Drosophila melanogaster: one gene and its partner. The protein of the gene in region 2 interacts with the protein of the main gene of each other region in a pairwise test. Each region holds a gene or a part of one and is shown on either strand. Other genes may lie near its edges. The genes, in order: Rab6 and CG33110.

Evidence for each region.
Region 1: the proteins of CG33110 (region 2) and Rab6 interact in a two-hybrid assay, tested with the Drosophila melanogaster proteins (one large-scale study listed by BioGRID).

Annotation. Positions count from the first base shown.
Region 1 is NT_033779.5:12,106,602-12,111,211, forward strand, and holds Rab6 (Rab6), read right to left. Parts: upstream 2,516-4,610; 5' UTR 2,199-2,515; coding exon 1,572-2,198; 3' UTR 620-1,571; downstream 1-619. Other genes in the region: ThrRS (Threonyl-tRNA synthetase), read left to right, coding at 1-161; Phae1 (phaedra 1), read left to right, coding at 3,042-3,854; Phae2 (phaedra 2), read left to right, coding at 4,547-4,610. UniProt on the Drosophila melanogaster protein: Protein transport. Regulator of membrane traffic from the Golgi apparatus towards the endoplasmic reticulum (ER). Mediates membrane trafficking during egg chamber growth and organization, possibly upstream of exocyst component Sec5.
Region 2 is NT_033777.3:22,568,124-22,573,262, reverse strand, and holds the start of CG33110 (uncharacterized protein), read right to left. Parts: upstream 3,076-5,139; 5' UTR 2,761-3,075; coding exon 2,601-2,760; intron 869-2,600; coding exon 678-868; intron 597-677; coding exon 516-596; intron 1-515.

The DNA of each region.
Region 1 (4,610 bases), on a different chromosome or scaffold from region 2:
TCAACTTCATTCTGGTGGTGGGCGACAAGGAGCGCTCCTCGAATACCGTTAACGTGCGCACTCGGGACAACAAGGTGCACGGCGAGGTCTCCGTGGCGGAACTCATCACAAAGCTGCAAAAGATTCGCGACGAATTCATCGCCAACGAGGACAGCTTCTAAGACTCTATTTCGAACTATTTATCAAAAGTATACTTAACATTTGCATAGCAAAGCAAGTACGCATTTTTGTTCTTTCTATGTATTTACGCTTACGAAACCGGAATTCACAAATAAAAAACCAAATCCAAACACATTTTAAGGTGTTTCAAATAGAAGAGAAGAGCATGCAATCAAATAAAAGCAATTCGATTCAATATACGATTATTAAGCTTCCCCAACTAAAAATCGTATTTTTCTGATCCACCTTAAGCCGCCTATTTCACTCCAGTTTCTTGACGAATCAGTGGAATTTGTCAGCAATTGAGGACTAGTCATGCCGACACAGAGGTGCGCTGTAGTCCATTCAGGAACGATTTGGAATGATAAGATAAGTCGGCCCACATTTGGCGGAAAACTTTTTGGGAAAGGTGTGCGTGCACCCACAACGTATGAGTCATGTTTTGAATTTATTTTTTTGTATTAATTTATTGCTAGTATCTTGTATACTTTTCATTTTCATAATTTGATTTATTAAAAATTGCATCAATAGTTTATGTTTTTATTCAATTATCAATTTTGTAAGCTTTTGCTTTTCGCGTAAAAAATGCACAAAGTTCTCTCGCTAATCGAAGCAAAAATCGTTAATAATATTGTTAAGTGTTTGCTCTGCTCGTGCTCTGCTTATCTGTTTCAGTTTTAGTCATAAAAATACATATTTTATATTTGTGTATATTTATTCATAAGATGCACGTGGCCAAGTCCTATGCCATCCACAGTTCCAGTTAGCAGTCGCGTTCGCTGTGCTAAAAAAAAAACCGAAATCCTAACCAAAACTGGCGAAACAAAAGCCGCAAACAGAACAGAACGGGGGCTAAAATTGGAAACAAAATGCCTGGCTGGTGGAATCATTGAACACAGACTGGCTGCGTGGTATCTACGACTGCTGGAGATGCCGAGAGCTGGAATGTCGGAGGATCCTGGGACCGCCTGGCCTGACATAAGTACATGGTCTTGGGTTTTTTTTCGTTTAGAGGGTTTAGGGGGTATCGGAAATGCACTACACTATATTCTTGTCTGGTAGCTAACTCGCAAATATTACTCTGATCTTGATCCCTGATCTCGTGTCAATGAGTTAGCATTCGCACTCGCCTGCGCTCGGGATTAGCTCGTCAATTAACAGTAATTAGTTAGCCGATTTCGTTAATTGTTGTTTAGTCTATTTGCCTTTGCTATCATTTGTTACTTTATAAATAAACTTAAACGTAAAGTGTGTATGTGTGTATAGATGTTGAGGAATCCGCCGCAGATCCGGCCAGTACATACACCTGACACCTGTGTACACCAGTGCTGCTGGCCGATCTCCTGCATCTGCATCTGCTCCTGCTGTTGAAAAAGGGGGAGAGGATGGTTGGATCGTCGGCTCAACCGGTTCTAGCAGGCGCAGCCGCCCTCGGGATCCTTTGTCTCGTTGGGTGAGTCCTTTAGCACAACCTCCTGCATGTCCTCGGAGGGCTTGTTCTCCGTGGAATCCATGCCGGGCAGTGCCGCGGCCACCCGTCGGAACAATTGCTTCACATTGTAGCCGGCCTTGGCGCTTGTCTCGATGAACATCACGTTAAGCTCCTTCGCCTTGCGCTCACCCTCCTCGGTGGACACCTGACGCTTGTCGGAGAGATCCGTCTTGTTGCCCACCAGCATGATGATGACGTCGCTACCCCGCTCCGTGCGCACGTCATCGATCCACTTGGAGGTCTGGTGGAACGAGTTGGTGTTGGTGATATCGTAAACGACCACTGCCACCGTGGAGTCGCGTATGTACGAGGGTATCAGCGAGCGGAATCGCTCCTGTCCCGCCGTATCCCACAGCTGCAGGCGCACAGTGCGATCCTCCAGGTACATGGTCTTCGATAGGAAATCAATTCCGATCGTCGCCTGGTACGTGTTGTCGAAGCTGTCGTACATGAAGCGCGTAATCAGCGAGGTCTTGCCCACACTCTGCTCGCCGAGGAAGACGAGCTTGAACTTCCGCAGCGGATTGCCAAAATCTCCGGATGACATCTTCCTCAACGTACGTGTCTACTTTTTCTTAATTACGGGTTTGCTGAACTCTCTTCTCGCTCCGCTCCGCTCTCACCAATCTCCACCCCTCCTCACTGTTTATAATGGGGCTGGGCCAGCGGTTTTCGGGGCCCTTTCGCACTGCGATTTCTCGGGATGCACCGCTTTCAAGTTGCCGCACTCTATTACACACGCTCTAAATGCTTTCCGTCTGGCTAAAGACTCAATTGCGGCTCGAATGGCTTGGTAAATCGCTAGGTTGAGTCGTGGAAAAATTACGGTCTCTGCTTCTTCTTCTTTAACTTCTGAGTCAGTTGCTGTGTGACCAGAGTGGCAATCAAAAGCAATTTCTCTGCCACGCTATCGATAAACGCATATTTGTACTAAATCGATGTTTTATGATTTAAAAAAAAATCGATTGATATTCGTTACCGTTATTAAATAATTTTAACTAAAATTTACCTGCTTAAAATGTTTAAATACTGATGAAGTACAAGGTAATTGCTTAACTTTTTATTTCATATTAAAAAGTGAATACTAAGTGTAAGAAATACTAACAGGTGATAACGCGATTTTCAAATATAAAGCTCTCTAAAGTGATTTGCTTGTTTTTAGATAAACGAGCGTAGGTATTTGCCCATCCTATCGGTGGAACTTGACGTACTTCTGTCAAAGAGTCACTGTTCGGGCGTCGCTTAATCTCAAATTATAATAAGTGGTTATCTGAAGAACACACGGTCCTTAATTGAAAGCCTTATCTGCTGGCGCTGGCAAAATTTTGGAATGGCGAATTAATTTAAACGTGCCGCGATAAAGGTCGATGTAAACAGTTCCGCGAAAACTATGTTAGCGAACGGACAGCAAACAAAGTCGTTGGCCAGTGGGCTTCTTCTCCTACTGGGCATATGCCGAATATCCGGAGTGGCTATCGGCGCACCCGAGGGGCGTGTCGTGGGTGGATCTCCGGCAGCGGTGAATAGTGCTCCCTATGCGGTGTCCATGCAGTACGGTGGCACCCATTACTGTGCCGCCAGCATTCTGAATGCCAACTGGCTAGTCACCGCTGCCCACTGCCTGACCAATAGTAACCAGGTGCTGGGCAGCACCTTGGTGGCCGGAAGCATCGCGGTGGACGGAACTGCAAGCACTACGCAGACGCGGAGCATCACGTACTTCGTGATCAATGACTTGTACACCGGCGGAACTGTGCCCTATGACATCGGAATGATCTACACGCCCACCGCCTTCGTTTGGAGCGCCGCCGTTGCCCCAGTGACGCTACCATCCTCGGGAGTGGTGCCCACTGGCACCGCCAATCTGTACGGATGGGGCAGCACTAGCACCACGAATACCGCCTCCTATCCGTCGACCCTGCAGGTGGCCACCAATGTGCCTATCATTTCGCTGAGCTCCTGCGAAAGCGCCCTGGGCACCAAGGGCAGCGATGTCCACTCGACCAATCTGTGCACTGGTCCTCTAACTGGCGGCGTTAGCATTTGCACCTCGGATTCGGGCGGACCACTGGTCCAGGGCAATGTCCTTATTGGCATCGTGTCCTGGGGCAAGTTACCTTGTGGTCAGGCCAACTCACCGTCGGTTTACGTGCAGGTCTCGTCGTTTATATCGTGGATATCGGCTAACCAGCAGGTGTCCTAAATAGTCGAGTTTTTCCCTATTTTTTCAATAAAAGCAATCAAATGTGTGTCCCTAGTGGCGGTCACTTAAATGTGGGACTTTCCTTCGCATCACAGCTACTATATCAAACAACGAGCTGTTTTTTAAAGTTTATCTTATCTCGTAAAGAGAGAGGAACACGGTGAGCAACCAACGAACAGATTTATATGCTTCACATATTTTCGGGCTGTAAATAACAATTTCTTACATTGCACAATAACAGAATAACGAACCGAATCATTGTGAAATATGTGAGTTAAGTAAATAATGTTGAGACTATGGTTTCAAAATCTAAACATTTCTTACCAGAACTAACCTTTTTAACAATGGTCTTATAGATATTATATTTATAATATTTTCCTTATCAATGGACGGGGATCCCCTCGAAAATACAGAATGACAAACTTGAGATATTGCCCTCAACACCCTTTTGCATCTATTCTCATTGTTGACTGAGTCTATCATAACAAGAGAGAAATATATATATATAAAATCGTATAATCTTAAGTTATAATAGGCTCTTATCTGAAAGACAAGGGCTCTGATTGAAAGTTCTTATCATATTCTCGGTTGGCTCGCATGAAATTTTTTATCACGAATTAATTTAAAAAGCCGTCGATAGTGCCAATGTAAACAGTTCTGTGAAAACCATGATTGCGAATGGACAACAAACCATGTGGCGCCATCGCCACCTGGCCACTATCCTCCTGCTGGCGGTGTGCGTTTCCCAAGGATCTG
Region 2 (5,139 bases):
TGGCCTGGGAAAGGGGAATACAATCGATGGACAGGCGTAACAAATGGCTGCTTGAAAAGCCATAAAAGGTAGAATTTGGATTAAGAAGCTGACCATTTAATTGCCGAGCTCACTAAAATTTGAATGTGAACTTTGTGCTGTCGCGGAGACATAATTAAAAACACTTTATTTGTGGTTGTTTTCGTATCTGCTCTATGACTGGTCAAAAAAGTGGCTTTGAGCCGAACTAAATGACTCTCGAGTCTGCCGGAGTCAGTGAGTCATCACAAAACAGAGGCAACGAACTTGCTAGCCAACTGCGGAAGATGAACCCGGCAAGGTGAGGCGAAAACAAAGACCGACCAACAACCAACTATCAACCGGTCAAATGACAAATGCCGAATCATATTAAAGAGACCATAAACTCCTTAAGTCCACGCGTGCCTCTCGAAATAGAAATTTGATTGGAGATGAGCGAGTTTCGATCTGACAGTGAATTTAATTCAGAACTTAGATGACCGGTTGCGACCACTTACCCGCTTGGAACTGGGACTATCGGAGTAGTCAACCGGTTGGCACTTCAGATTGTAGTAGTTCAGCCAGCCTGCCATTAGGTGCTATTTGTGAGAAACCGAAAAGGGAATGATATCAGTTGGACGAACCTTAGGCTATATGCTAATCTCTAGATTCGAACTCACCTCGTAGAACATATACCCACTGAGGGCCACCTGGAAGGCATTGTAGACGACCAGGGTGCGGCGCAGCTGGAAAGGCTTGCGATCGCGCATGAACAATGGTCCAATGACCAGGACCCAGGATAAGTAGACGGCCACCATGCCAAAGGTGAACATTGGGTGCTCCATCAGCGGGAAGCGCTTTGCTCGCGGATCTGTAAAATTTAGACGCAAAACATCCTAATTAATTACCACCATTCGTTGTTCATTTCATTTGCTATACGTTTTGCCTATGCTAATGCAGAGACGGTACGAAACAGCTTCGATTTGCATTTAATTAGTTTCAGCCAAGCCATTCAATCCATGCCAGCTGAATGAAATCGTGGCTAAATATAAAGTCAACTTGTCACTTGTAGCGTTTAAAGTGTCAGCACAATCGCCTCTACACTGAGCAATAATAGTAAAATATGCGAGGCTGGCATGCCGGTTAGGGAATTATTCCATATCTTAGTAAACATCGACGTCATAGCCCGGTAATTTAAAGAAACCCCACAGAAATGATATGGTAATTAATTGCAAGGGGCTTTGCATTTCTAAATGGACCAACTTTTCCATAACACTGCTTGTTTACTACAATAGTTATGATTTATCATCCAGTTCGACGATATTGCCAGCAAATAGTTGTTTACTACAAATATTCCATTGGCTGCTTGGGATCACTTTTATGCCGGGAATTCTTGACCTGTTGCACTGAGCAGTTGGTTCTATTCTGGGCCTCAATGTCATTTGGATAACTTAGTTTACTAAGTCAAACAGAAGCTTCTACTAAAATATTAAGATGCTAAAATATAATATACAAAAACTAGAGAAAATTCATATTTCTATGTCTATAAATATTTGTCTGTACACTGCTTTACATTTTTTGTTATGATGTAAAATATGCTACAAATTAAGATTAAAAAAAAAACCTTTATATTTCATGTATCATAAAATTAATATATCTCGTTAATATATATTTAATATAATATAATAATATATATTTTGTATATATATATATATTTTAATATATATTTTGTTTTTAATAAATTTGCATAGCACTAACATAAAAAAGTCTCGAGTTTTCTCCCAATTTGTGCGTCAAGTTCGTGTCCTAAGTCTTTCGCTCACGGACCGGAACTGTTACTTTTTTCAAGTTTGTGTTCTAAGTCTTTTGTCTATGGCCAAAAAAACCCCCGAACGTTTTTGCTTCGTAAGCGTGATTTTGGCACTAAGTAATCTTCTTAAACCCGCTTTAGTATCACTAAGCCACCGAAAAAATAACTCTATTTGCACTGCTTTTAATTGCAACTGCCTGCCATTGACCTTTCACCGCCGACTTTTCGCATTGCCAGGAAAGTGTATATGTGAATATGGGGTACCTCTGGAAACGGAACTCATGGGCAGACCCCAGAGGCAATTGGCATGTTCGAAGTGCTCCGGCTGCTATTGTACTTAATAAATACATGCTCAGCTGCACACGGCGAAACCAAAAGCAAAACCAAAGTCGTCGATGGCGACGGTCGCATCATAAAAATGTCTAAGATAAGCAATGTAAATACATTTTAATTACGTTAATAATTGTCAAAAATACAATTGACACTGCCAAGGTCGCAATTTAAAGAGCGCGCACACACAAACGCACACAAGAAATCATTTTTAATTGTCCTAGAAGTTTTTTGGCTCAACTTTTGGCTTTGTCTTTTTACTTTTCTTTTTTGTGTGGTTTTTTTTTTTAACATTTTTTCTTTGCCATCTCGTGTTCGTTTTGTTTGGCATTTAGGTTTTGTGTTACGATTTGTAGGCCATAAAAAATGACAATTTCATGGCAATTCGTCATTTTTATGGATTTATAATTAAGTCGGCTAATGCACCAGATATTCGAAAAGCACCCGAACACTTGACACCTACCGCCGTAATCCTCTTCCACCAGCTGGTAGTAGCGCTGCACGAGGCCCGTATAGTTGCGCGTTATGTGATGGGTCTTGAACTCATCCAGCGCGATATTGGCTATCTCCACGACCATTTCGAATCGCGAGCTGCTGTTGTAGTTGTGGTAGTTCATACTCATGATGATGATATGGGTTCTCAGTTATCCTCAGGCTTATCCTTGGCCTAAAACTTGAAGTATCCAAAACGGTGGGCGTTTTTTTTTTTGTGCGTTTTATACGTTCAGTTCGTTTGGTCAGAGGCTCGCCGCAGGATGTTGCATACTGCGCTCGGGCCGATCGAAAGCACTTTATTGACTGCACACGCTCAGAAAAATCACTTTTCGACTCGCTGTATTCGCTGTTTAATTTATTATTGCCCAATTCGTATTGGATATAGACGCGCAGATCTGGCTGGATTCTACCACCACACCTTAGGAATGTTTATGCTCAACTGAATCTAAAACTTCTCAGCAATCACAAGATAAAGTAACTTTTTCGCAGCGCCAGCCGAGCAGAGCAGCGGCAGAATCGGTGGCAGAGGCTGAGCGGCTGCGATCGCGACGCTTGTGCAAAATACTTGGCTGGCTCACAAGTACAACTACAAATGCCCAATAACAGATAGAGCCCGACTTCGGCAACTCAACGAATGGCGAATCCCCCGAAAAGAGCCATAGAACAACGGAAGTTTCGTTCAGTTGGCGCCGCAGTGCATGCAATTTTTTCTACATCTGTGTTGGCCACAAACCCCCATTACTCGCATGTGTGTGAGTATGTGTGTGAGTATCTGTGTGTGCTTGGCCCACTGAGTCGCATTCGAGTTTTTTCGATTTTTAGCATGTTCCGTTTGGCATTCAACATTGAATGCCGATGATTTTGTTGCCGGTGGTTCGAGACACCGGGTGAATTCAACTTTTTATAGGTCAATGCACTACGATGTGGCTGAACTCTTCGGCTCTTTGCTGTTTGCAATTTGAAATTTATCTAGCTGCGAAATGAAATTTTACTCTTTAGTTAATTATAAGTTTAAGCTAAGAAAGTAAGTAGTTAAAAAATTCAGTAATGCGTTTATTGCATGCTAACTTTAATAAACTACTTACTTATTTGTTATATGTTTTTAGGTAAAACTTAAACTTCCAGAAATTTCCAATTTGTAAATAAATTTGTAACATAAAAAAAATATTTTTACACAATTAAACAATTGAAAATTTATTAACGGATTTTATTCACAATTAATTCTAATTTTACATAGGCTTTAAAATGTGATTTATTTGTTAAGATTATTTTTATACCACAAAAATCGTATTCACCTAAATAAAATATAAGACAAGTGCAATGCATAACTTTACAATTACAACTTAATCATAAAATTAATCGAAGCGTTATAATAATTGTGATTTTTATTAATCCCTTCAATTGCAAAGTAAGCTATAAAAGCGAGTACTATAAGATTATTGCCTATAATTGCTAAAACCTTTACGTGTGGCATATTAATAAACGGATTTATTAACCTGCCAACGAGACCCCTTTTCACTATAAAATTAATCCGGTTGAAGCATAGGGATCCACAGCTCCTCTTTCACCTAAGATCAGCTCTAAAGTGTAATCAACTCTATTGTTTGTAATTCGCATAATATTTTTTTTTTTATTAATTATCTAAGGAGCCAAACTAGTTGTCCACCAGCGAAGCACGTACAATTAAAACAAGTTTTTAATGGCATCTTTAATGTGCAAGTGCCTTACATTGTGACAAACTAAATTAAAGGCTTGAGCTATGTTGGTTCCTGGACTTCCGGCTTGTCTTCCAATGACCTCAGCCGACGATGTTTATTTGTAATTCCCATTCATGCTTACAAGCAAAATAACCTGTTCTCGGCTAATCGGCCCTGGAGGTGTTGATTCGGGGCCTATTTGCTGATATGCTAAATAAATTCTCGGGCAGTTAGAACGATGCCAAGAATCCAGAAGATCTAGGGAGTGATAAACGTGTCAAGGTGTCCAATCGCAGATGGCCTTAGATACACGATCAATCCGCAGATAAATGAGACGTGTGTAAATCCATAGAGATCGAAGGCAAAAGCCACTGGGTTATGTTCGTCGTTAAGTTGTGTAAATTATCGGACGTGCAGCGAAGCCTTCGCCGGGGTATATTACCCGTAATTATGCCATTTAGTTCCATACAGAACCATTTGCGTTTTGCGACAAATTAACGCCGAGCGCATTGAGTGCCTAGTAAATGGTTCTTTGAAGTTCAGCCCGGCCAGTTCGACCTTTGCTTGGCTTGATTATTTTGGCCATGTTTGGGGCCGACGTATTCGAATCTGTATCCAAAGCCGGCAAGGATGACGTTGGCCACTACCAACACGGCTAACGGTTGAATGCGGATTGGCCACGCTCGACTCTTCGGCTCCTAAACGTGGATGGATGGATGATGAGCTTGGTAACACAGCCCCGCGGTGTTTCACGGCCTAGGTCTAGGTTAATCGGAAGTTAAAGAAGTCAAAGAAGTCTGAAGAGTCAAA